Arabidopsis thaliana: one gene and its partners. The protein of the gene in region 1 interacts with the protein of each later gene in a pairwise test. Each region holds a gene or a part of one and is shown in the gene's direction. Other genes may lie near its edges. The genes, in order: PAP3, GAMMA-TIP, AT1G36050 and AT2G23200.

What was found.
Region 2: the proteins of PAP3 (region 1) and GAMMA-TIP interact in a protein complementation assay, tested with the Arabidopsis thaliana proteins (one large-scale study listed by BioGRID).
Region 3: the proteins of PAP3 (region 1) and AT1G36050 interact in a protein complementation assay, tested with the Arabidopsis thaliana proteins (one large-scale study listed by BioGRID).
Region 4: the proteins of PAP3 (region 1) and AT2G23200 interact in a protein complementation assay, tested with the Arabidopsis thaliana proteins (one large-scale study listed by BioGRID).

What each region holds. Positions count from the first base shown.
Region 1 is NC_003070.9:5,056,269-5,062,535, forward strand, and holds PAP3 (purple acid phosphatase 3), read left to right. Parts: upstream 1-2,314; 5' UTR 2,315-2,411; coding exon 2,412-2,699; exon of another isoform or gene 2,700-3,117; intron 3,118-3,204; coding exon 3,205-3,361; intron 3,362-3,457; coding exon 3,458-3,565; intron 3,566-3,661; coding exon 3,662-3,789; intron 3,790-4,092; coding exon 4,093-4,221; intron 4,222-4,315; coding exon 4,316-4,383; coding exon of another isoform or gene 4,384-4,387; exon of another isoform or gene 4,388-4,497; coding exon 4,498-4,720; 3' UTR 4,721-4,872; downstream 4,873-6,267. Other genes in the region: AT1G14710 (hydroxyproline-rich glycoprotein family protein), read right to left, coding at 5,900-6,267.
Region 2 is NC_003071.7:15,442,557-15,447,875, forward strand, and holds GAMMA-TIP (gamma tonoplast intrinsic protein), read left to right. Parts: upstream 1-2,737; 5' UTR 2,738-2,933; coding exon 2,934-3,317; intron 3,318-3,408; coding exon 3,409-3,780; 3' UTR 3,781-4,065; downstream 4,066-5,319. UniProt on the Arabidopsis thaliana protein: Water channel required to facilitate the transport of water, diffusion of amino acids and/or peptides from the vacuolar compartment to the cytoplasm. Does not promote glycerol permeability. May play a role in the control of cell turgor and cell expansion.
Region 3 is NC_003070.9:13,447,555-13,454,786, forward strand, and holds AT1G36050 (Endoplasmic reticulum vesicle transporter protein), read left to right. Parts: upstream 1-2,649; 5' UTR 2,650-2,912; coding exon 2,913-3,054; intron 3,055-3,139; coding exon 3,140-3,213; intron 3,214-3,296; coding exon 3,297-3,380; intron 3,381-3,474; coding exon 3,475-3,555; intron 3,556-3,719; coding exon 3,720-3,800; intron 3,801-4,043; coding exon 4,044-4,136; intron 4,137-4,388; coding exon 4,389-4,568; intron 4,569-4,654; coding exon 4,655-4,722; intron 4,723-4,798; coding exon 4,799-4,850; intron 4,851-4,942; coding exon 4,943-4,996; intron 4,997-5,081; coding exon 5,082-5,174; intron 5,175-5,256; coding exon 5,257-5,323; intron 5,324-5,409; coding exon 5,410-5,487; coding exon of another isoform or gene 5,488-5,501; exon of another isoform or gene 5,502-5,806; coding exon 5,807-6,129; downstream 6,130-7,232. Other genes in the region: AT1G36060 (Integrase-type DNA-binding superfamily protein), read right to left, coding at 7,164-7,232.
Region 4 is NC_003071.7:9,877,579-9,883,997, forward strand, and holds AT2G23200 (Protein kinase superfamily protein), read left to right. Parts: upstream 1-1,696; 5' UTR 1,697-1,772; coding exon 1,773-4,277; 3' UTR 4,278-4,346; downstream 4,347-6,419. Other genes in the region: CYP81D7 (cytochrome P450, family 81, subfamily D, polypeptide 7), read left to right, coding at 1-112, 349-732, 815-1,429; AT2G23210 (UDP-Glycosyltransferase superfamily protein), read right to left, coding at 4,956-5,819.

The sequences.
Region 1 (6,267 bases):
CAATAAGATCGGAAAGAACTCACATCGAAGTCAAACCACTAGCAATCCGACAGGGAGGAAAGCAAGAAGCCACCAGAGCGAGAGACACAACTACTAATCAAATAAGCAATTATTATGACATTATATATTGAATTTCTGATATTTATGTTTGTCTTATAACTATGTTAATATCTCACACGTACTGACAGAACAAGCAGCCTTACTTTAGAAAGTTTAGAAGAAGACAGAAACAGGATAATCCCAAACATTGTGTTGGGTTGCTTGAATTATTAGCCGACAAGTTGAGTTCTAACCACTTCATTCATAAATAAAGAAGTCAGCTGATGAAGATTATACAACAATCTTTGTCATAAACTACGTAAAGATAATGAAGTAGCTAGTCCTGTATATATTATCTTATGTTTCCTGGTACTAGTTCTGGTGCGACTGCTAAAATCTAAATTGTCGTCTTTAGATTAACATTTGTTTTTTTTTTCTCTCTATGAAAGTACTAAATTTTCATAGGATAAGCCATTCAAAATATCAATTACAGTGACTATTGAGTATTGACTAATATTATTTGAACTCACAACTCACCTACATGTATTAATGTTTGCATTATTTTAGTGATTGCTAAAACACATAAGTGTCACATGACATATATATCATTGTTTAGGCTAAACATATTATATATATGGTCTATATTATAGATATCGATCCAAGTCTATTAGCCAATCCAACACTAAAACAATCCTCTTGTAAATGAGTAGCTCATGACGACATTATTCTGTTTCATTTTGGAAGCATTAGCATCATTTCCACACACACGTGTTGACCTAAAAAGGCCTATATTTGTTCTATTTATAAAGCCTTAAATTAAAGACTCAAGCAATATCACATGGATCTAATATATAATCATATGTTGCATAGAAAAAAAGAACAAAAAAGAAATAGAGAGAGGTGGTTGAATGATTTAGGCTTTACATCAAACCCACTGTTTCAATAATTTTGTTAGGTGTGTGTGTGTATGTGTGAATACAGCTAGAGAGTTTCACGAAGAAGCTGGTTGGTCAAAACTTTTGACTCGAAAGGAATTGCTGACAAATCGATCAATCAATTTGCTTCAGAGAGAAAAAAAAAACACATAAACACAATTGACATCTCTCTATCTATACGGTCCGATACTAGACTTGGCGAACCAAACTAAAGATACAGTAGGACACTGTGACTGTCTAGGACCACCAGAGATATTCAGTGAAGTTTCTATAGTCATCATAAGTCAATCTTGCTGACTACATCATACTAATAGGAACTATAGTCGTAAGGAACATATATACCACATTAAGCTTGTTTCTTTTGATTAACTCCTCAAGTTGTTTTCAAAATACTCGACGAACTAGACTGAATCAGCAATAAGACCAAACATGTAAAATAAACGTTGCAGAAGTTAATGCTCATTAGTTTTCTCTTTTGTAAGAACATACAAACACACAGGTGACAAGTTTTGGCCAAGAATTACAAAATAATATGATACCTTCATAGTCATACCTCAGAATTAATGTCCTAGTCGAGAAGCAGAAGTTTGTTTTTATAGATCTTTCTTTTCATTAGAGAAATGGGTATCGGCCCAATAACATAGGCCAACCCATTTGCATTTATTTTCTCATATCCAGTAAGGATATACTTTCAAATTTTTGTATAAATGGGATTTTGATTTTTCTTTAATATGTTGAACGAATTTAGTAAACTATTCACATTATTTTATGTTCAGAACTATACTGTAAAATAACTAACGGTCAACAATAATTGAGAGAATTTGGAAGTTTTCGTTAGACTCACATCAATAATGTGACTCAAAGCTAATAATTGCAATTTCCGACAAATTTGTGGCATGGGCGTTTATGCTGTCTTCTACTCTTCTTGTATGACAACGCACATACCCGAGCTTCGTAAATTTTATTTCTATTTTTTTCAAGTATATTTTGTTTTTAAAATGCGATTTTAGAAAGAATTTGTGTGATCAGAATTCACGGTGTAATAATAGTTTGTATGCATACTGTTGTTTGATGTGTCATAATCCAAATTTAGATAATATGTTTATGTATAATGTTAGAAATAAAAATGTAGTAGAAATTTACGTATATTTTCACTGATAATAGAAATTTTCAAATATCCTTAAACTGTCAATATCCAATTTCTTTATGTTTAAAATATTTCAACAGCTAATTTTCAACCGCTATTTATTTTATTTAAATTTATCTTGTCATTATATTTCGTTATTGATAAATATCTGAAAAAGTGGGTGACAAAAAAATTACCGATTCAAATTATTGTAATAAAATTGACAAATCAAAAGATTGAAATAGAAAACAAAAATGGACTACATTTCTCAAAATGGCAAATAATTTTTATTCATATTTATCAACCTCGAAATGACCTACATATATAGAGACACAAAGATCACAACAAAATCAACCATTCCTTTCCTTATCTTCTTCCTCTTTTGCTTTTCTAATCTCTCAATGGCTACCTTAAAACACAAACCTGTAAATTTGGTATTTTACGTTTATAATTTGATTATTATATTCTCCTCCCATAGTTCCACGGCGGAGCTCCGCAGGCTACTGCAGCCATCAAAAACCGATGGTACAGTGAGCTTTCTCGTTATCGGAGACTGGGGAAGAAGAGGCTCCTATAATCAGTCCCAAGTAGCTCTTCAGGTTACTTCTTATTTTCATTTACAAGTTATTTACTATATTTCTCGCCTGTACGCATATATATAAATATATAATGCAAATTCAATAGTGTATAATTAATACGTATTACGTAAACATATATATGCGTATGCCTTCAAGAGCATACGTGATATGAGGATCAAATTTACTGGTCTTCATATTAATGCCGGCCCTTATGTTTTTATATTATTCTTTTTTTTTCTTTTTTTTATTATTATTATTCAATTTCAATATATATTACTAATTCTTGAACACCATGTTATAAGATACCATAAAAAGAAAGAAAGTCATGTTAGAGGAACTTGAAAGATTCGGTCTGTGTTAAGAAAACAGCTTTAGTGTACGAAGATATTCTACATATGATTTTTGTTTGTACTGTTGTTTTGCAGATGAACTCAATGTGGTAAATTTTATGCTAGTTTGATGTTTTCTTTTATACTGTTGTTTTTAGTTATTTTATGCTAAATTATTTCACACGAAATTTAAACAGATGGGAGAAATCGGAGAGAAATTAGATATCGATTTTGTGATTTCTACTGGAGATAATTTTTACGACAATGGTTTAACCAGCTTGCACGATCCTCTATTTCAAGATTCTTTTACCAACATTTATACCGCTCCGAGCTTGCAGAAACCTTGGTATAGTGGTAAATGTGTGGTTCAATGTGTACATTCGTCGTTGGATCTTAATTATTAAACGATATGTGGTTCAATGTGTTAATTACATTTTCTTTAACCTAAAGTTTTAGGAAATCATGATTATAGAGGTGACGTCAGGGCACAACTTAGCCCTATGCTCAGAGCTCTGGACAACAGATGGGTTTGCATGAGATCTTTCATTGTAAATGCTGGTAATTCCTCCTATATAATATTTCTTCAAAAGTTAGAAATATTTTATTAATCCTCCAATTATTTTTTTATTTTTGTTAATTTCGTTAACTGAACAGAGATCGTCGATTTGTTCTTCGTCGACACAACTCCGTTCGTCGATAAATACTTTATTCAACCAAATAAGCATGTTTATGACTGGAGCGGTGTATTACCTAGGCAAACATATCTGAATAATCTCTTAAAGGTAACAATTTTTTAAGTAAATCTTCCTTTCTTTCTTTTTTCGTCGAAATAGAATTAATATTAACTTAGGAACGTCATTATATACGTGTTTTGGGCAAAACATTCCTTTTTCTTTTGTTATGATTGGATTTTTTTATAAAGTTATGATTGGATGTTAAACGCAGCTTTTATTTTGTCTATTTTCAAATGGAATCGCGTTTTAATTAGGTATGTAATGCGATATGATTAGAGAACAATCTGCCAATGCAACTTTTTTTCTTTTTACGAGCGAGTGACTAACGAAAGCTATAATGTAATAATATAGGAACTCGACGTGGCGTTGAGAGAGTCAGTCGCAAAGTGGAAAATAGTGATTGGTCACCATACGATCAAAAGCGCAGGCCACCACGGGAACACCATTGAGTTGGAGAAACACCTTTTACCTATTCTCCAAGTAACAAAACCATTCCATTCATATAATAAAGTTTATGCACCAATAGAAAAAATCTATCTAATTAAATCTGTTTTTTTTGTTCTCGATTTACTAGGCAAATGAAGTGGATCTCTACGTAAACGGACATGATCATTGCTTAGAGCACATAAGCAGCGTGGACAGGTAGAATAAATTTATTTATTTGTTCGTTAATTATTTTCTTATTAATCAATTATTGTAACGTAAGGGTCCACGTACGGGAGGATATAAAATGTCACCATTTTTGGTTGCATATAGTAACATACAATTTATGACAAGTGGAGGTGGATCCAAGGCCTGGAAAGGAGGTGACGTGAACTACGTTGAACCAGAAGAGATGAGGTTTTACTACGACGGACAAGGTTTCATGTCGGTTCACGTTTCAGAAGCTGAACTGCGTGTAGTCTTTTATGATGTTTTTGGACACGTTCTGCATCATTGGAAGAAGACTTACAAGGAGGCGCTTTATTTCGCTTCTTGATTCCAATTTAATCGGACGTAATTGTTTATGATCGATGTACTATGAAATTATCAATATCGTACTTCGTCGAATTTTCGAATCACATTATGATATGACAAGAACATATCAGCAGCATCAGAAAAAAAAGTCAATGAAATCTTTATTGCGTAAAAGTACAGTTTCAAACAAGATATTATTGAAAATTTGTAAGATGTGAGATTAACTAGAAATACTGCATGCATATACTGTATATACATATCGAATCTAAGCATATTAAAATGTAAATATCATCCTCTCTTACGCTTCCATATTAATTAAGTTAATTAATTTTCGTTATTCTTATCCAATTTGATTAACAAGTTTTCCCGAAGCATGCGTGCATACAGTACTCTTGTGTAGTTTGTAGGGACACAAAATGGGTCCGATTCTCATCTATAAAGATAGATAATGATTTTGTTACATGTCTTTTGTCCTGTGCTCAGATTCTCTTCAATCATGTAATATATATAGATAAGTTATAGTGAATTATGGATTATATGATAAGATAAATGATATACAACTCTATGTTGTGGATGAGATTCTGTCACATAATTTCACAAGCCCCGGATCTCTCATATTTGATCGCAAGAACACTTTTGCTCATACCAAAATTATCTCCCAAAAGAAATATAATAGTCATTCTATTAAGGCTTATCTTATTTTACTTTTGGTGAGACTTAATAGAGTGGACAAAGGAATGAAGACATGGGCCACTGCCATGAACCATGGGACCGAACACACAGCTGAACTTGTATCACACAACAGAGATAAAGGCTTCATATCTTAGCTTTCGAATCCCAAAAAATATTCCAAGAAGAAAAAAAAAAAGTAACTTTCTTGAGAATCTTGAGACACTTTGGAGAAAAACAAAGGTATATATATATATGCATGTGTAAGAAGATATTATGATTCAGTCGAAACGAGGCAGAGATAGAATTTGAATAGAAAGGAAAGGATATAGATGAATGATTTTAGAGAAGAGAGTAGAAAACGGGTAACTTTTCCTTGTTTTGACTCTCCTAAAAATAATTTCTCAAGTGGCAAAAACAAAACGACATTTCATCGAATTCACCGCTCTTTTAACAGTTTGTAAACTGCACCTCAGATTTCATCTCCCAAAAACTATTCTCTCTCTTTGCTCTATCTTCTCTTCTTCAGCTACTAATTGCTCTGTTTACCGTTACTGCCATCGCATTCCCCTTCACCAAATCCGTTACGAGCTTCTTCTTTCGCCTTCAAATCTAATTTTCCTTCTGTTCCGTTGCTGTTGTCAGCCAGTTCTTGATTTGAACCGGGTGGGAGGAACACACCAGTGCCTGGGATGGGCATTCGAGGTTGTGGTGCTGTCTGGTGTCGTGGATGAGGTGGCAGCAGTGGCCAGACAGGCGGCCCGGTTGGTACACCACCTGGGAACGGCATTGGAGAGGCAAGTGGAGGAGAAGGAGGGATGAAAATCGGTTGAACAGCTCCGTTTGGTGGGCGGTGAGACGGAGTGGGCAAGACACCAGTGGACGGGATAACAACAGGGT
Region 2 (5,319 bases), on another chromosome or scaffold:
GATGGAAGTTTATATTGGTCCAAAATGAGATTCAGTTCAAATTAAATAAATAAATTATCTATTTAACCAAACTTATTTAAAAGAATTTATATGCTCTCAATCTTTTTGTTTGTAAAGATTTAAAAGTTAAAATTTTAAACAAATAACAAAATGGAGCAACGACGAATCTATCAACGTACGTACGTTCTCAGACATTACATTGTACAATTATTTCGACAAAAAAAAAAGCCTCATTGATTATCATTTATATATTATATCATAGAGATTCGTGCCCCTTATCTCGTTTTTTTTGCAAGACTAAACAAGTAACAAATTGCCTAGCTGCCTAAAGAAGTGAAGATAATACTCTTTCTAAAATCACAATATTCTCATAGTAAAAAAAAACATATTTATCATCATATCGTCCAAATATTTCAGTTTTGTTGTTTGTTTAACAATACAAATTAACAATGATTTAATTTGGAGCACTTGAATATAATAGTACACCGACCACAACCCCACACAATTCACAAACTTGAGAAAGAGAGAGAATATGCCCAAACTCACCAAACCTAATCATTTTCATAATTAACGAAAAAAATAGTTTCGGTAAGATGATGATGTCTTAGTTAACTTTTGCTTACTACTTTTTTAATCATTAAACAAAAAAAAATATTAAAAATCGTTTTCACTTGTTCAATACATATTTTTAAGTTTTATTTATAAGGAAAAAAACTTAATAGCTTATTGCACCAAAACTAATATGGTCCTTATGGATCAGTTTCATGTTTTTAGTTTTTTATGTAATGAAAATTTGAATTATTTTCTAAAAATATGTGTACGATATGGTTCGATTTAAATAGAAACCATGGTTCAAAACGTCAGATTAGTAACGTTCATAAAACTGAACGACTTAATTATGTCCACGTATACGGTTGGTTTCTTTCAACGTTTTTAGATAGTTAATGCTTTGAAATCTTAGTTAGTTATACAAAGGTAAGGTAAACGGTCCAAAAATGATTGTTCTCAATCAAGTTTTAAATAAGAAGGAGAAAAAGTCAACAAGGAAATGCACCAATCAATAAAGTGTCACCAAATATATGAGGAATTCCGATGATTAGCTAGCGTTTTGAAAATACTTCGGCTACTAGCTATGTTTTTGAGAAGTACGTACATGTGGTTGGTAAAAGAATACTGGAACATTGTCACTAGAACGTTCGTGATTGTACGCAGTATTCATGCCAGTTGATGTTGTGCACCATCAATGTTCATTATGTGAACCACCCAAAAAGGCAAAAACAATGGATCATCCACCTAACAATCCACCCCAATCTAGGTAGTTCTAAAATCACACGACTTACATCAAAGGAAAAGTTTCACATGTTTATCAATCACAGGTCACAGTATGTTTGAAAGAGATGATAGAAAAAAGATATCAAATTTGTCCCGTGTTGATAGGAAAGTTGGTTTGGTATCGTATTATAATTTTCTCTACACACACACGACTCATGTTTCATGTGTTAAAAAAAAAAAGCAATCGTTTTAATCCCTTCCAATTTATATAAATCTGCGGGCTCTGTTTTTATATAAAGAAAATTGGATCAGTTGTATGAACTTCGAACTGTGCAAAAAACTTCAAAATGGTTCAACTATTTTGTCAAGGCTTGTAAAATAAATAAAAATTAGCACACTGTTAAAATTTGTAGTATTATATTTAAAAAAAAAAAAGATCAAATTAAACAAAAGAAAAACGAAATTATCACGTCTTTTATTTATTATTATTTTAAATAAATAATATGACATTTTAAATTTTGTTTGGAAATTAATCACTTTCTGGCAGTACCTCTCAGCCGAATTGTAAACCTAAACCGCCCAAAAGGGACAGATTGCATCGTGGTGGTAGGACATTCATAAATTATTATTTTTCCTTAAGTGGAGGGCCGTCACACAATACTTTTTGCCCAATAGATAATTGGCCCACAAAATAAAATGCTAAAATAAATATATAATCTTTCTGTATGATTGTGAAAAAATGTGAGATTGTCTCGAATGTTAAAATTTGGTGCCACAAACAATATAAATATATAATCACAGAAAAATTGGTGCCACAAACAAGATAACATCTTATAATTTTCTCGTATACTTGGAGAGCGAGTTGAAAGAATTGCGATTAGAATAAAGCGTAGTGATTTGGCATTGAATATCATTTATGCTACATAATTCTACTTAGCGATAATATAAAAAAATATCATAACTTATGGTTAGCATGTAATGTCACTATACGAATATCAAATTCATAAAACTAGCCGTGACTTATCTACACAGAATTATTTATGTTTCGAGAATAAAGACCCAAGAGAAAACAACGACATTATAACAAAAAAACAACGACAGATTATAAGTAAGGAAGAAACAAATGACTATAGATTAGATATGAAATATTTTTAGTAACCATCTTTAGTTATAATTTTTGTTTTGGAGCTTGCTCCGTATACTCAGTTGAGTATTTTTACCACACATATATCAAGACTAAATTCTACCACTAATCAAGTAAAAACCTCTTAGCAAAATAGTTGGAGAAAAACAAGAATAAAATCGTATTATTTTCCTCTAGAACTATCGATCATTCGAGAGAGAGAATATGAAAAAGGGACAAAAGCTCTATACATGTACAAACATGACAAGTCATTATCCGCCACGTAGATTGGTCGGTTCCGCTTCGCTGGAATTATAGCGATGTACTTGTTTAGCCTGTTTTCAAAATTATTTAAATCTCTAACCGCTCCAATCAAATAATTTCTCCACCAAATATTAATAATATATCATCCGGTAACCGGTCACCAAAATGGCGCCACCTCAGATATAAGTAAGAGCACATAGTAGACCAGAAAAAATCATCAAATCCATCTCCCACTCTTCTAGCATCTTGAAGCTTAAATCTCAGCCGTCCGATCATGCCGATCAGAAACATCGCCATTGGCCGTCCAGATGAAGCCACCCGTCCCGATGCCTTAAAGGCGGCGTTGGCTGAGTTCATTTCAACTTTGATCTTTGTCGTCGCCGGTTCAGGCTCTGGCATGGCTTTCAACAAGCTCACTGAAAACGGAGCCACCACTCCTTCTGGTCTCGTAGCTGCTGCAGTGGCTCATGCCTTTGGACTCTTCGTCGCTGTCTCAGTTGGTGCCAACATCTCTGGTGGACACGTTAACCCTGCCGTCACTTTCGGTGCTTTCATTGGTGGTAACATCACTCTCCTCCGTGGTATCCTCTACTGGATTGCTCAGCTTCTCGGCTCCGTCGTCGCTTGCCTCATCCTTAAATTCGCCACCGGTGGCTTGGTATGTCAAACTACCCTTTAGCCCTTTATTAGATCTCTTTTTGGACCTAACTTCTTTGTCAAGTAACTAATTAACCTTTTGAAAATTTTAGGCTGTGCCGGCTTTTGGTCTCTCTGCTGGAGTAGGAGTGTTGAACGCTTTCGTTTTCGAGATCGTGATGACATTCGGGCTTGTTTACACCGTCTACGCTACAGCCATTGACCCCAAAAACGGGAGTCTTGGAACAATTGCTCCCATCGCAATCGGTTTCATTGTTGGAGCCAACATCTTAGCTGGAGGAGCTTTCTCTGGAGCCTCCATGAATCCCGCCGTGGCTTTCGGACCAGCGGTGGTGAGCTGGACATGGACCAACCACTGGGTCTACTGGGCCGGACCTCTCGTCGGCGGTGGAATCGCTGGACTCATCTACGAAGTTTTCTTCATCAACACCACACACGAGCAGCTCCCAACCACAGACTACTGAATTAATCTCTCTTTTTCTCTCTTGTGTAATTTTATTCGACTTTGAATTTGAATTTTAATGTCTTTTTAATTTCCGTTTGTGTAATTTCGAATCATCAAGGGGTTTATGATCGTTCGATCTTTTAGATGAATCCTTGTCCGTTGGTTTCAAGAGTGGCCATTGCAATTTCGACTATATAATGTGAATTATGTATCAATCTCATCTTAAGTTTTCAAGTGTTGCAATATCTCTTTTTGCCATTTTGTCAAACTTTTAAATTCCACATCAGTCTTATTACACATTAACTTTATTTATGACCGAATTTATAAGAAATGAGTAAACAAATTATGAGTAATAAAAAAATATGATATATAATTATATATATTTTTTAAAAAAACTAGAATTTGATACAAGTTTCGATCTATTTACGTCTAACAAAATTCACCATATCTTTAACAAAAAAAAAAAAAAAAAAAAAAAAGAAGAAGACAAATTAAATTCACCATATGTATATGTAAAAATTTGAAAGTTGGAATGGTTGGCGTTTTGCAATAAGGGAATAAAATGATATTGTAGGGGTCAGTCAGTGAGGGTTACTAGTCAATCAATACTCAATAGTGAATACGGCTTTTCTTTTTTTTATGTTGCTTTGTATTTGCATTTTGCAAAGGGTGTGAATTTAGAAAAATAAGATCCAATGAGAAAGATTAATCTGTTTTCCTTTTACTTATTTTAAGCAGTAAGATTGTTTTGCAATAGAGATCTCAAGTCTCAACCATACTTGTCAAACAGGTCCGACCAAAATCAAGACATGATTCGATGAGGTGCTAAGTTTGACGTTGCCTAATGTCTTCGTTTGTCCGATACCATTTTCGGGTTTTATAACAAAAATTAGAATTCCTGTTTGGTTTTGGCATTTTAGAGATATTTCAAAATCTTTGGCCAAATGGATACGGATTGGCAGAAGCACGTGAAAACGTCTGTACCAATTCCTTACAATTTCATTGTCTTTTCTTCTACTGATCAAGGAGAGTTTGAAACTTCGGTCGACGCCACTAGCAGAATCGTACACTGGTGCAATTGCCGACATATTATCTTCCGAATAAGTTATGTTTTCTATACAAGAACATTGTAACTTTGAAGGTAAATATGCTTCGTTACATTAGAGTAACTATCTTTCAAATGTGATCACCATTTTCTATAATTAGATTTTGAGATAATCTGAAGATTTATTTACGCCATTTTAGACTCATTATAATATATGTATATTGTTGTATAATTTGGCAAAATTATATATTATATGATATTATCTAGAATGTTCGATATAATATTCAATACCCATGTGCCATTTTGGAAACTTATACCTAATGTTTTTGTAGGTTTCTCTTTCCCTTTTCCCTATAAATGTGTAATTTCTCATCAACCTTTTTGTGAGTGAATAGTATAATAAGAGTACACTCATAACTCGTACCAAACCATTATGGTCCTTATCAATCATATGGCTCTCTCACAAGCCACAAATCTAGTTCTTCCTTTATTAATTAGACTAGGTCGGTCACA
Region 3 (7,232 bases), 8.4 Mb from region 1:
TTCCGGATGATGTGGGAGATGAGGATGTGGAGGAAGAGGACGATGATGATGAGTTAGATGACAACACTTAATTGCTTAGTCCTGGTCATTTTTTTTTTAGTTGGGCATTGTGTTAGGGGGAGTTTGTCACTGATTGTTTTTGTGTGTTTGTGAAAACTCCCTGATCTTGTTCTTTATCGGCTTCTTATCGGATCTTCTGTGTGTTTAATGATTAGTCTTATGTATAGAACCAAGAACTCATTTCTGTTTCATGTTTAAATGGTTATGTCTTTTGGCAGTAGTTGCTTAAACTTGAGCCTTTGGTTTCTATGTTTGGTATGGAATATTGCTTGGCTTGTATTGTGGTCTCTACTCTTTTGCAGATTACTTGAGGTGTCACACTCAAATAAAAAGGGGGAGATTGAAGAAACAGAGTGTCTGAAGTTCTACAGGCGTGTCTGAAACAACACAGAGCAGAACAGAGGAACAGAGGAAGCGGGAAAGTAGCAGTTGCTTTTGCCAGCGTGGCATGTTGATTGGAGTGAAGGAAAGGCGTATCGCTTTAGACAAAGGAGACGAAGTCGTCAGACATAGGACGTGTGCCTAGTGTCAAGATAATGATGAGGAGCTACACTTGAACCTGATGGATAAAGTAGAGCATCCTGCCTTTTCCGAGAAACTACATAAGAGAAGTTTTGGTCTCTTATTAGGGTTAGCCACTTTACTTGAGAAAAGTGGAAGAGAAGAAAAGTTAAATAGAACTTGTTCTTGTGGTTTCATTGGTGAGTGAACAAAGAGAGCACACGGCTGTTGCTGTGTTTGTGAGCTGGGTAGTTTTAGGTTTTGACAAGAGCAAATCAGGTTGTTGATGTTGCATAACACTGTCCAAACTTATCTGTGATTGATCAGTTTGAAAGTTGTTCTAATAAAGTGTGTTTATTGGAGTTGTGATCTTTATCTTGTCAAAGTACTTAGGATTCTTTTACTTCATATGTTAGATATAATATTTTGCTTAATTGAATATATTTTACAATGTTCATAAGCTATAAGATCATTATATGATGCATACGTTTTATCCAACCATATCTTCACGTAACCAACTTCTTCTCAATTACCTTAACTGTTCACATGTTTATATATCTAAGCCCATATTTTTAGGTGTTATACATATATATATTTATTTACTTTTTGAGGATTCTGGAAAATTGAAAGATATGATACAACAGTTATACGATATATATATTGAATTTAAAACTTTAATAATTATAATTTTAATAATTTGAATAGACACTGTAAATATAGTTTTAGTCGGACAAACCTTACTCAACATTCAATACTAATCATATACCAAAACATAATTGTTTTATCTAATTTAGAGAAAAGAAACATGAAGCTATTTATTATCATTGTGGTGACCAGTTTAACCATCTCAAAGGTATTTGACAAAACACTTGTCACCATTGAAGCAAGAAATTTGAGGAAGATGGACCGTCATGAGCATTTCAATGCTAATGAAGATTTCGTGGAAGCAAAAATGTTAAAGAAAATTGACAATAAAAATAATCTAAATAATAGATGTATAAATGATTTTGCGCCTACTAATCCAGGACATAATTCTGGTATTGGGCATCCAAAAGTTATAAACAACAAATTTACAAAAGATTTTGCGCCTACTAATCCAGGACATAGTCCTGGTATTGGGCATCTAAGAGTTGTAAACAACAAATTTACAAATGATTTTGCGCCTACTAATCCAGGAAATAGTCCCGGTATTAGGCATCCATGAGTTATGAATGTTTAAGGATTGTAAATCTTATTATATAAATCTTAAAGAAATAAAATAAAACTAACAAAAAAACAAATTTATATGTCTATATCTCAAATGTTTTTAACTTTTTTTTCTGAACTAAAAGAAAAATTAACAAATTTGTTTTTATATGTGTTATTGGTCAAATAAATTAGGATGTATTTATATTTATTTGAAGAAAAAATTAGCATGTATTAATTTTTTTAAAGTCATTTAATTTATGTGTACAAAATATTATTTTACGGTTTTGGTGGGAAAACGTTGGCTTACAGTTGTTGCGGGAAAACGTGATTTTTAATTTTGGCGGAAAATACTTTTTGTGTGATTTTGGCAAGAAAACACTTTTTGTGATTTTAGCGGGAAAACGTGGTTTTACGGTTTTGTCGAGAAAATGTTGGTTTACGGTTGTGGCGGAAAAACGTAATTTTAATATTTAAACCAAAAACTGAAGTTAAATAGAATAATTTAGTTTTACTAAGGATGACTAATAGAAAAAGAAAAATAAATAGACTTAATTGGATACCAATTTATTTATGTGAAACCTTATTTAATAAATGAGTTTAGTTGGCTTAATCCATTTAATCTCATTTAACTTGTTTTTCCTAAATTAATTTAAATGGGTCAAAAACTCTTACTCATAACCATTAATTAAATAGGATTTGCATACCCAAATTAACATCACTAGTCCTAGACAAAAACCAAAATAGAAAACAATATTTTTATCCATTTTTACTTTTGCTCATCGACCAAATTTGGGCCTAGTTTGCTACAAGCTAACAATTGAAAAGCCTCTTAAGACACATGAAATAGTAACGACGTCGTTTACTCATGAAGCGAAAGACGGCAAACACGAACGGGTTTACGTAGACCGTCAAACGCTCCTCCGTCCGACGGAGAAAAAACGAGACGGTGAAGAAGAAGAAGAAGAAGAAGAAGAAGAACGACTCAAAGATCTCATCGATCACTCTCTCCAAGATCTATTCACGCATCGTCGGAAGAATTTTCGCTTCCGACGACGTTTCTCTCGTCTGATTTTGTCTCCGAACATCCTACCTAATCGTATTCGGTGCTGGATTTGAATCCGGTGAACTGAATCTGACAATTTCGTTCCCGGAGGTGTTTAAAAATGGCCGGGATCTTGAATAAATTGCGGAATCTAGATGCATATCCTAAGATCAATGAAGATTTTTACAGCCGTACATTATCCGGCGGAGTTATCACTCTCCTCTCCTCCGTTGTTATGTTCCTTCTCTTCTTCTCCGAGCTCCGTACGTATTAACAACTTCGCTTCCAATTTTGTGAATCTCCATATCCAGTTTCGTAATTTTGAAATTCTTTGATTCTGTTGTTTAGGTCTTTATCTTCATACAGTCACCGAGACGAAGCTTATAGTAGATACTTCAAGGGGAGAGACGTTACGCATCAACGTAATGTTACTTAATAGTGATTTTGACTTGGTTTGTGCTTATATTTGATTAGAGATGTCTGATAAGTTTCATTGATGATGCAGTTTGATATTACGTTTCCTGCTCTAGCATGTTCGATTCTTAGTGTTGATGCTATGGATATTAGTGGAGAGCTTCATCTTGACGTGGTATGTTTGTAAAATTGGTTACTGTTATAGCTTAGTGAATCTTAGTTTTTGTGTTTGAGACGTTGATTAAGTTTGTTAAATGTGTGAGTTACAGAAACATGATATCATAAAGAGAAGATTAGATTCTAATGGCAACACTATAGAGGCAAGACAGGACGGAATAGGCGCTACTAAGGTTTGCTCTCTGCCATTCTATTCTTTGGGGTTTTGTAGTCATTAGGCTAGGATTAAACTGCAGGCAAATGGCAAATGGCAAATGGAATAGTAGTGTCAAGAATTAAAAGTCGTTTGTTTTTGGGGTCTTTAAAGTCTTATACTTTTTTTTTTGTGCTTGTGTAGATTGAAAACCCACTGCAGAAACATGGTGGCAGGCTGGGACATAATGAGACTTACTGTGGTTCTTGCTATGGGGCTGAAGCGGTAATTGTGTTATCTCTCTATTTGACTTTGTGGAGCATGGTTTCTCAAGTTCATATTCAGATTACTCTTGATTGTTTAGTGCTAGTCAAGAGGTCATAATGGAATAAACAAAAACAGATGTCATAGTGGATTGTTTCTGTACTATATATAGTTATCATTTTCAGGATAGTTGATAGTGCTTTTTCAATCTGGCTTTCATTTATTTATAAGCTTTCATCTGAAGTATGTTTTTTCCCCGTGCAGGAAGAGCATGACTGCTGCAATTCGTGTGAGGATGTTCGTGAAGCATATAGAAAGAAAGGTTGGGGGGTTACTAATCCAGATTTGATTGACCAGGTAAATTGCTAAGAAAAGGTTCTTCGCCTTTTAAATTCCTGGCATCACTGTTTCAATGCGATAGTAGCAAGTTTTGTTTCATTTCTTTCTTCTTGTTTCTTTTTCTTATTCTTTGTTAGAGTCTCCAAGGCTTGTGTGCGTTTTGTTTAGTTAGTATGCACTTGGGAGGCTCTTAACTGAACTATGCTTCAAAGAGTTTCCATCTTCCAACTGCGAGCTGAAATACTTTTCACTTATCTGTTTGTGATTCAGTGTAAACGAGAAGGTTTTCTACAAAGAGTAAAGGATGAAGAAGGTGAAGGGTGTAATATATATGGGTTCTTGGAGGTCAATAAGGTGGCTGGGAACTTCCACTTTGCTCCTGGGAAAAGCTTTCATCAGTCGGGCGTGCATGTTCACGATCTTCTTGCTTTTCAGAAAGACAGTTTTAACGTAAGAAATGACTTGTCCTATTGACTGCAACTCATTCGTTATGCTTCTAATCTTATATCAATTCAATATGTTGCGTCTCCCTGCAGATAAGTCACAAGATCAATAGACTTACTTATGGAGACTACTTTCCTGGCGTCGTTAACCCTCTTGACAAGTAAATAACCATTCTGGTCTATTCCATTCACACACTATTTATTTTTTCATACTCTCTAACGTACTTGAAATTGCAGAGTCGAGTGGAGTCAAGACACACCTAATGCTATGTACCAATACTTTATCAAGGTTTGTTCCAAGACAAACACTGTATCATATACTTCAAATTCGTCTATAAAATACCCGCGATGACTCTATTCTGCTTTGTCTGCTTTCAATAGGTTGTACCAACAGTATACACAGATATCAGAGGACACACAATTCAATCGAATCAGGTGAACCAAGGCTTTTAACTGTTCGACCTCATTATCTATTCATTCTCTTCCGCGTACTATCTTAACTTAAATGTAAAATTGGCAGTTCTCAGTGACCGAACATGTAAAGAGCTCAGAAGCAGGTCAACTGCAATCTTTACCTGGAGTTTTCTTCTTCTATGATCTCTCTCCAATCAAGGTGAGTGTATTTGTGTGTTTTAACTGCAGTTTTAGAGCGTATTTATAGTCATAATCCTAACTAAAATGTGTCGTTTCCGTAGGTAACATTTACGGAGGAACACATATCATTCTTGCACTTCTTGACGAATGTTTGCGCCATAGTTGGAGGTATCTCTCTAATCTCTATATACCATAACAACACTTGTTGGTTAACGCACATTAAAATCCGAAATGAAACATGTAAAAATGCGCAGGTGTCTTCACAGTGTCCGGGATAATAGACGCGTTTATATACCATGGTCAAAAAGCTATCAAGAAGAAGATGGAAATTGGTAAATTTAGCTAAATCCTTTAAGCCTTTTTGGGGTTTTCGTCTCTCTCTTTTTGTTTTGCGGATAATACGATTCATGCTCCAAATGTAATATGGTGTCATTTATTTAATTCTTTTTGTTAAGCTGACTATATAAAATATACATATTGATACGTTACACTCTTTTAATGCAAATTGAAGGATAAGTCTTGGGTTGTGTCAATCCAGCTGTTGACAGCCTCATGCGTGCGTTACAATTATCGTCTTTTGACTTTTTGTCTTTTGAAGATATTATGGGTTTTGAATCTGAAGTTAAGTCTTGAGTCTATCTTTGATTGTAGTGTATGGATTCAATGAATGGAAGAAAAAGAAGCAAAACAGTCTCCATAATAAACGCTTAGAGTACAGAGAATCATTATTAGTATTGACGAGAAAGTTGTTATTAGTGAATATATTAATTCCGATTGCAATATATGTTAGGTCTCGGTTAATACTCGGATTCGAAGAACTGAACCAGAACCTATCCGAAATATCGGTTTGGGTCTGTTTTGGATCCTCTAGAACATTTGATTGGGTCTTGTCTTCATATATTTTCGGTATTGGTTCAAAAAGGATAATACCTGATAAATTAACGGGAACTCGAATATATTTGAAGCCTAACTAAACTCATGATCTCCTTTAACCTATATTGCCTGGTTTGATTGGGAACATCGGGTTTTTCTTTTCGAGTAGTTTGGATAAATTTGAGTATAAAGTAACCAACTTGAACTGTATCCGATAATTTTCAATTCACCCATATCAACTATCCGAACTGATATGAACCCGAAGGTTACCAAACCAATCCCGAACAAAATTTTAAAATACCCAAATAGTACCTCGATTCCTAGTACGAAACCAAAATCCAAATACTCGAGTCGAACCCAAACCGGTACCCGAATGTGCAAGCCTAATATATGTGCATTCTCTCATTCCTTTGGCTTGGCAATTGGTTTCTATATTTGCATGGACACTTTTATCATCCAAGTCTTCCTTTCTCATTTGACAACGTTTGCTCGTAAAAAAAACTCACTTTGGTTACCATTGTTAAACACAAAAAAAGAAATCTAATCTTTTGTGTTAACTTAAAGACTTGATAATTGTTTTACTTTTTTTTTTACTTATTATCTATCACTCGGTCTATTCTAAAGAGAAAGCATGAGAATGTCGTCAACGTAGGCACTTTGTATGAGGTTATCTTTATACCACGTAAAGTTCAATCAAGGATCCTTTTCTTCCACTCTTGTGTTTCTCTTTTGACTTCTTCAAAATAGGACCAAAATTTATAATATTAAGCTAGAAATTTAGCAATTTAAATTTTAAGTTTTCACTATATTGTTCCCTTTTAGACTAATTTACTTTTTAATCATTTCTAAGCTAAGCACAATGGTCCTGTCGCAGAATGGAACTTCACGATTCTAATGTGTTACAATATATTCATAGTAGTAATACTAACCATATTCATTTCAATTAAGAGAAAAGAAGAAGGGTCTACATGGTACGGCATGAACAAAAAAGCTTGAGCTGTCCATAATTTACACACTTGCATTACATTCATACAAAATGCTAAATTACAAATTTTACGCACAGCTAATAACCCTAAAGTTTAAAAGAAAATACAAACAAGTTAAAATGAATAAAAATGAATTGAATCCTAATTTTTCACGATAAAATTGAAGCCCAATCTATCTCATAAGAAGGACACTTGCCGAGCATGAAATTTTCATTCCA
Region 4 (6,419 bases), on another chromosome or scaffold:
CCGTATCGGCACCCTGGAGATCTTTTCGTCACACAAGCTCAACGGCTTTTTATCTGTCCGTAAAGATGAGATCCGACACTTGTTATTGCGCCTCTCAAAAAACTCGCAACATGTATGTGAGCTTCTTCTACATATCAAAACATTTTACTTAGCCAGAAAATATTATAACCTATTGATTTGTGATAGTGCCGTCACTGTTTCATTATATAGGTTTATACTTGGCCATGTGCATGTGCAAAATGTAGATTGTAGACGCCAAAAATATTCTATACCAAATGAAGATTGTGAAGTATGATTTTGAAAGTTTGAGGATTAATCATTTGTTTATGTGATTATAATTAAAATCAGGGTTTTGCAAAGGTTGAGATGAGACAATTGTTTTATGATTTGACTATCAACAACATTCTTCGAATGGTGGCTGGGAAACGATTTTATGGAGAGGGGACAGAACAAGATGAAGTTGCGCGGCGAGTGACACAACTGATTGACGAGATTGTGTACAGGGCTGGCGTTGGGAATGCAGCCGATTATATACCGATTTTGCGTTGGATCACAGATTTTGAGAAAGGGGTCAAGGAGTTGGCGAGTCGGGTCGATGAGTTTTTGCAGAGTCTGGTGGATGAGAGACGTGTGCATAAACAAAAGGGTAACACTATGATGGATCACTTGCTTTCTCTCCAAGAAACTCAGCCTGATTACTATACAGATGTCACTCTTAAAGGAATCATAATTGTAAGTTTGAGGAATTCATATACTATATGTAACAACACTAATCAAACTTTATGATAGCTTATTATTGATTTTAAGTTTACAGGTTATGATACTTGCCGGGACTGAAACATTAGCAGGGACTTTAGAATGGGCGATGCTTAATTTGTTGAACCATCCAGAAGTATTAGAGAAAGCGAGGACCGAAATCGATACCGAAGTCGGTTTTGACCGGTTAATGGATGAAGCTGATACTAAAAATCTGCCTTATCTCCAATGGATTGTGTTGGAGACCTTACGTCTTTACCCGGTAGCTCCAACAAATATTCCACACATGACGTCAGATGATTGCATATTGGCAGGATACGACGTTCCACGTGGGTCGATGTTATTGGTGAACGTATGGTCCATGCATAGAGACCCGTCTATATGGGAAGCCCCAGAAATGTTCAAGCCAGAGAGGTTCAAAAATGAAAAGCTTAATCAGAAGTTGTTGTCGTTTGGGTTTGGACGACGAGCTTGTCCCGGGGTTGGCCTAGCTCATCGGTTAATGAGCTTGGCTCTTGGATCGATGGTTCAGTGTTTCGAATGGCAGAGAATTGGTGAAGAATATGTAGACACTAGAGAAGAACCTATGGCCATGATGCGTCCTGCGACACCGTTGCTAGCCATGTGTAAAGCTCGTCCCATTGTCCATAAGTTTCTCGATGCTTTTGCTTGAAGTGTAACTCTTCTTTCCTTGACTTGGGAATAAAATATGTAGTAAAAAAACTTATCATGTCAAAAAATCTAATAGTATAGACTGACCGTTTACTAGGTCAGTGTTGGGGAGCCAAAGGTAAAAAGATTAGAGAGTGATTGTTTCTCACGGGACAAAAGACGATGACTTCAAAAGTCAACTCCAGTCTTCTTTCTTTTTGTTCCACCAATAATTTCAATTCTCTATTTCTCCTTCAATCTCATCTTCTTCCTCAATCCAGTCTTCACATAGACCACACATGTTTTTTCATCCATTGACCTCAAAGACTTGACTTTCTCTCTTTCTCCTTCTCTGCATCAAAGCTATGGAGAATTTCTGTTTTCAAGACTCTGTTTCTCTATTTATCACGATCATGGTTCTTGTTCTTCTCCCCCGTCTCAGTCTTTCTGATACTTCGACGTACACCCGTCCTGAGAATTTTTACGTCAACTGTGGATCGGATTCTAATGTATTTTATGGTGGCCAGACCTTCGTCGGAGATACCAACTCGAGTACTAACTCAGTTTCCTTCACCAACAAAGGAACTGAAGTCATCAACGACCAATCGTCCGTTGCGCCTGAAATATACCGGACGGTTAGGATATTTAGACACCCTTCTTCTTACAAGTTCAAACTTGATTCTCTGGGTCTGCACTTTGTGCGTCTCCATTTCTCTGTTGTGTTTTCTCGGGCAGATCTTTTAACTGCTCGGTTCACTGTCTCTGCTACCTCTGGTTCTAATCATCACTTGAAAAGTTTCTCGCCTCAGAATCTCACTAATACCCCACGAGTTGAAGAGTTTCTCCTGATGATGAACTCGCTGGAGTTCGAAATTCGATTTGTGCCCGATCATTCCTCTTTAGCTCTCATCAATGCCATCGAAGTGTTCTCTGCTCCTGATGACCTCGAAATCCCATCAGCTTCCGATAAGAATCTGCATACGATTTACAGATTAAACGTAGGAGGCGAGAAAATCACTCCGGATAATGATACCTTGGGACGAACTTGGCTGCCTGACGATGATGACTTTCTCTACCGAAAAGATTCAGCGAGGAACATTAATTCAACACAAACGCCTAACTACGTGGGAGGGTTAAGTTCAGCCACGGACTCCACTGCTCCTGATTTCGTCTACAAGACAGCTAAAGCAATGAACCGTAGCTCGAATGAGCAGGTGGGGATGTTGATGAATGTTACATGGTCGTTCAAGGTCAAAAGTAACCATAGACACTTCATCAGGATTCATTTTTCTGATATTTTGAGCAACTTATCAAACTCCGACTCCGATTTCTATCTCTTTGTAAATGGGTATTGGCGAGTAGATGTAAAGCCTTCAGAGCAGCCTAGGTTGGCGAGTCCGTTTTTTAAGGATGTCGTGAATGTCTCTGATGGTTCTGGACTCTTGAATATCAGTATAGGTACCAAGGAGGCCAATAAGGATGCTGGTTTTCTGAATGGTCTGGAGATGATGGAGGTTTTGAGTAAATCTGGTTCTGATTATTCAAATAGAAGCAGTTCCCGGGTTCACATCATCACTGGTTGTGCTGTTGCTGCTGCTGCTGCATCAGCTTTGGTCTTCAGTTTGCTGTTTATGGTATTCTTGAAGCGGAGGAGATCGAAGAAGACTAAGCCAGAGGTTGAGGGCACTGTATGGTCTCCTTTGCCATTGCACAGAGGTGGGAGTTCAGACAATAGACCTATCTCTCAATACCACAACTCCCCATTACGCAACCTACACTTAGGCTTAACGATTCCCTTCACAGACATTCTAAGCGCTACAAACAACTTCGACGAGCAGTTGTTGATCGGGAAAGGCGGGTTTGGCTACGTTTACAAAGCTATTCTTCCCGATGGAACCAAAGCCGCTATCAAACGAGGCAAAACCGGCTCAGGACAAGGGATCTTAGAGTTTCAAACCGAGATTCAAGTCCTCTCAAGAATCCGACATAGACACCTCGTCTCGCTAACGGGATACTGCGAAGAAAACTCCGAAATGATCCTCGTCTACGAGTTTATGGAGAAAGGTACACTCAAAGAACATCTATACGGCTCGAATCTACCTTCATTAACATGGAAACAAAGACTAGAGATATGCATTGGAGCAGCTAGAGGTTTAGATTATCTCCACAGTAGTGGCTCAGAAGGAGCAATCATTCACAGAGACGTCAAATCAACAAACATATTACTAGACGAGCACAATATAGCAAAAGTCGCAGATTTCGGATTATCGAAAATTCATAATCAAGATGAAAGCAATATCAGCATAAACATCAAAGGAACATTCGGTTACTTGGATCCAGAATATCTCCAAACACATAAATTAACAGAGAAATCAGATGTTTACGCATTCGGAGTCGTCCTCCTCGAGGTACTGTTCGCGAGACCAGCTATAGATCCTTATCTTCCTCACGAAGAAGTGAATCTATCGGAATGGGTGATGTTCTGCAAATCAAAAGGTACAATCGATGAGATCTTAGATCCGAGTTTGATAGGTCAAATTGAGACGAATTCGTTGAAGAAATTCATGGAAATTGCTGAGAAATGTTTGAAAGAGTATGGAGATGAGAGACCGAGTATGAGGGATGTGATTTGGGATCTTGAGTATGTTCTTCAGCTACAGATGATGACGAATCGTCGAGAGGCTCATGAAGAAGATAGTACGGCGATTAATTCCGGTGGTTCGTTGGTTGCTCCGAGGTTGATGGTGAGTGATTCGTTTAGTACGAACTCGATATTTCAGAATGGTGATGAATCGAAGAACAGATTTGGATTTACAGATTCATCGGAGACTCGAGTTTTTTCGCAGTTGAAGATCTCTGATGCAAGATGATGAAATCTTTCGCAATTGTGTGTAAAATTATAATTTTTTCGAAATGTGAAGTTTCTAGCAGTATCTGGTTCAATTTCAAAATTTAATATCCGGTTATTTCCGGTTAATAGATAATCACAGTCCGTCTATAGGGTATTTCGAAGGCTAAACACTATTTTGGTGTTAAAATTACATCATTTTTAACGATTTTGATGTCGTTGATGAACAAGTCCAAATTACGAGCGAGGGATCCACCAGGCGCCATCGCCGATCTCGTCGCTTGCTTCAACTCCGCCGCTCTCCTCCTCATATCCGCAGCGTCGGTACCCTTTGTCACGGCGTCAATGCATCTCTCCACCTCAGCAACCTTAAGCTCTCCATCGACGACATCGTTCTTCATCCGTACTCCGATTCCAAACACATCAACAAGCAATCTCGCGTCAAGCGGCTGATCAAACCAAGTCGGATACGCCACCATCGGAACACCACTCACCACCGTCTCGATCGTCGAGTTCCATCCACAATGAGTGACAAAACAAGAGATCGCCATATGGCATAGTATCTTCTCTTGTTGACCCCATTCAATAACAACTCCTTGACCTTCTTCAACCATATCTTCCAAAACGTCAACGTTTTCGGCCTTCTCCTTTGGCCGTATCACCCATAGAAATGGAACTCCTCTGTTTTTTAATGCTGTCGCTATGGTCTCGACTTGATTCTCTGATGATTTGAGTATGCTTCCGAAAGATATGTAAAAACTGAAGACCTAACTTGTTTGTCAAGCCACTCCATACAATAATCATCAGCTTTCCACATATCTAGGCTTTTCCCATCTAAGATTTTGTCCTCATCAGCTCCCAAAAGAAATGGAGAAACAAGAGGACCAATTGGGATAATAGGTTTTAAATCAAACATCGATTCAATTATAACCGATTCGAGTTCATAAAATGAATTAGCCAAAACCCATTTAACATCTTTCAAGCATTCGACGAATTCCGCCATTAGTGTATTGAAGATAGCACCGTGAGAAGGTAACATCAATGTCGGGAGATCTCGGACTTCTAAAAACGGTAAGCCTGGTAACTCCACTTTTTGATTAGGATCTTCGAGATCGGGGAAAGAGTTTGTCTTCATGTAGTAACGGTAATAAACTGAGAAACCTGCACAAGCTTCAATCCAGAGGATTGCACAAGGAATGTTATGAGCAGCTGCAACAGCTGGAACCCATGGAGTAAAAGGCACAGAGATGATGCAATCAAATCTCTTTCCTTCGATTATTTTCGAAAAGTTATTGGCTCCGACTTTTCTCAATGACTCTGTGAGAGGTTCGTGGTCTCTTGGATCGTCTTTAGGCAGACCATCAGAGAAGAACACAAGATCCACCAGGCTATGGGGTTCATCGGTGGATGAGAGGAGGTCACGGGCTGATTCAATGGTGGCGAGAGTGAAGTGTAGGTTGGTTCGTGCGAGATGTTTGGCGAATTTGAGCATTGGATTTAGGTGACCTTGGAACGGTAATGCTACCATTAGAACGTGTGTTTCTTGACCCTCAATACTTCCCATTTTTTTTGTATAGACTTTTAGTAGTAATAATTCTTTTTAATAGTAATTTAGAGGTATTAGACTTGAATTTCGTATAAAAATTATGAGTTTTAATCTTAGTGGTATATATAACAATTGTTCTTCAACAATATTAAGTGAGATTTTTGTAATATATCATTATGATTTGCTAACCCAATATATAATGGTCAACAGATTTAAAATTATGATTTTCTATATTCTTGTAAAATTGTTGTGGCAAGAAATCATGTTCTTACCAATTTCTAGCATAATTATGTCAACAGCCAGCTGCAAAGTTATCTTATTAACTAAAATTTTATATAATACAGAAGTGTGAACTTGTTTCAAATTAGTTAAAAAGAGTGTATATTGAGTACAATTTTCTAATGATATTTAATAAAAAAACATTGTGTTAAAATTTTAAGAGATTTTGTCATGTGATTATTATTATTCCTTATATATATATTATCCTTTATATATTAATTGAGAAACATTCTTAATAAAAACTTACTCTTATATGTTATTAATGAAAATGTCATGCTGACATGTTGTGTTCGTAGAGATTTGTAATCTATTTCATTCATTGTCTAACATTTACTAGAA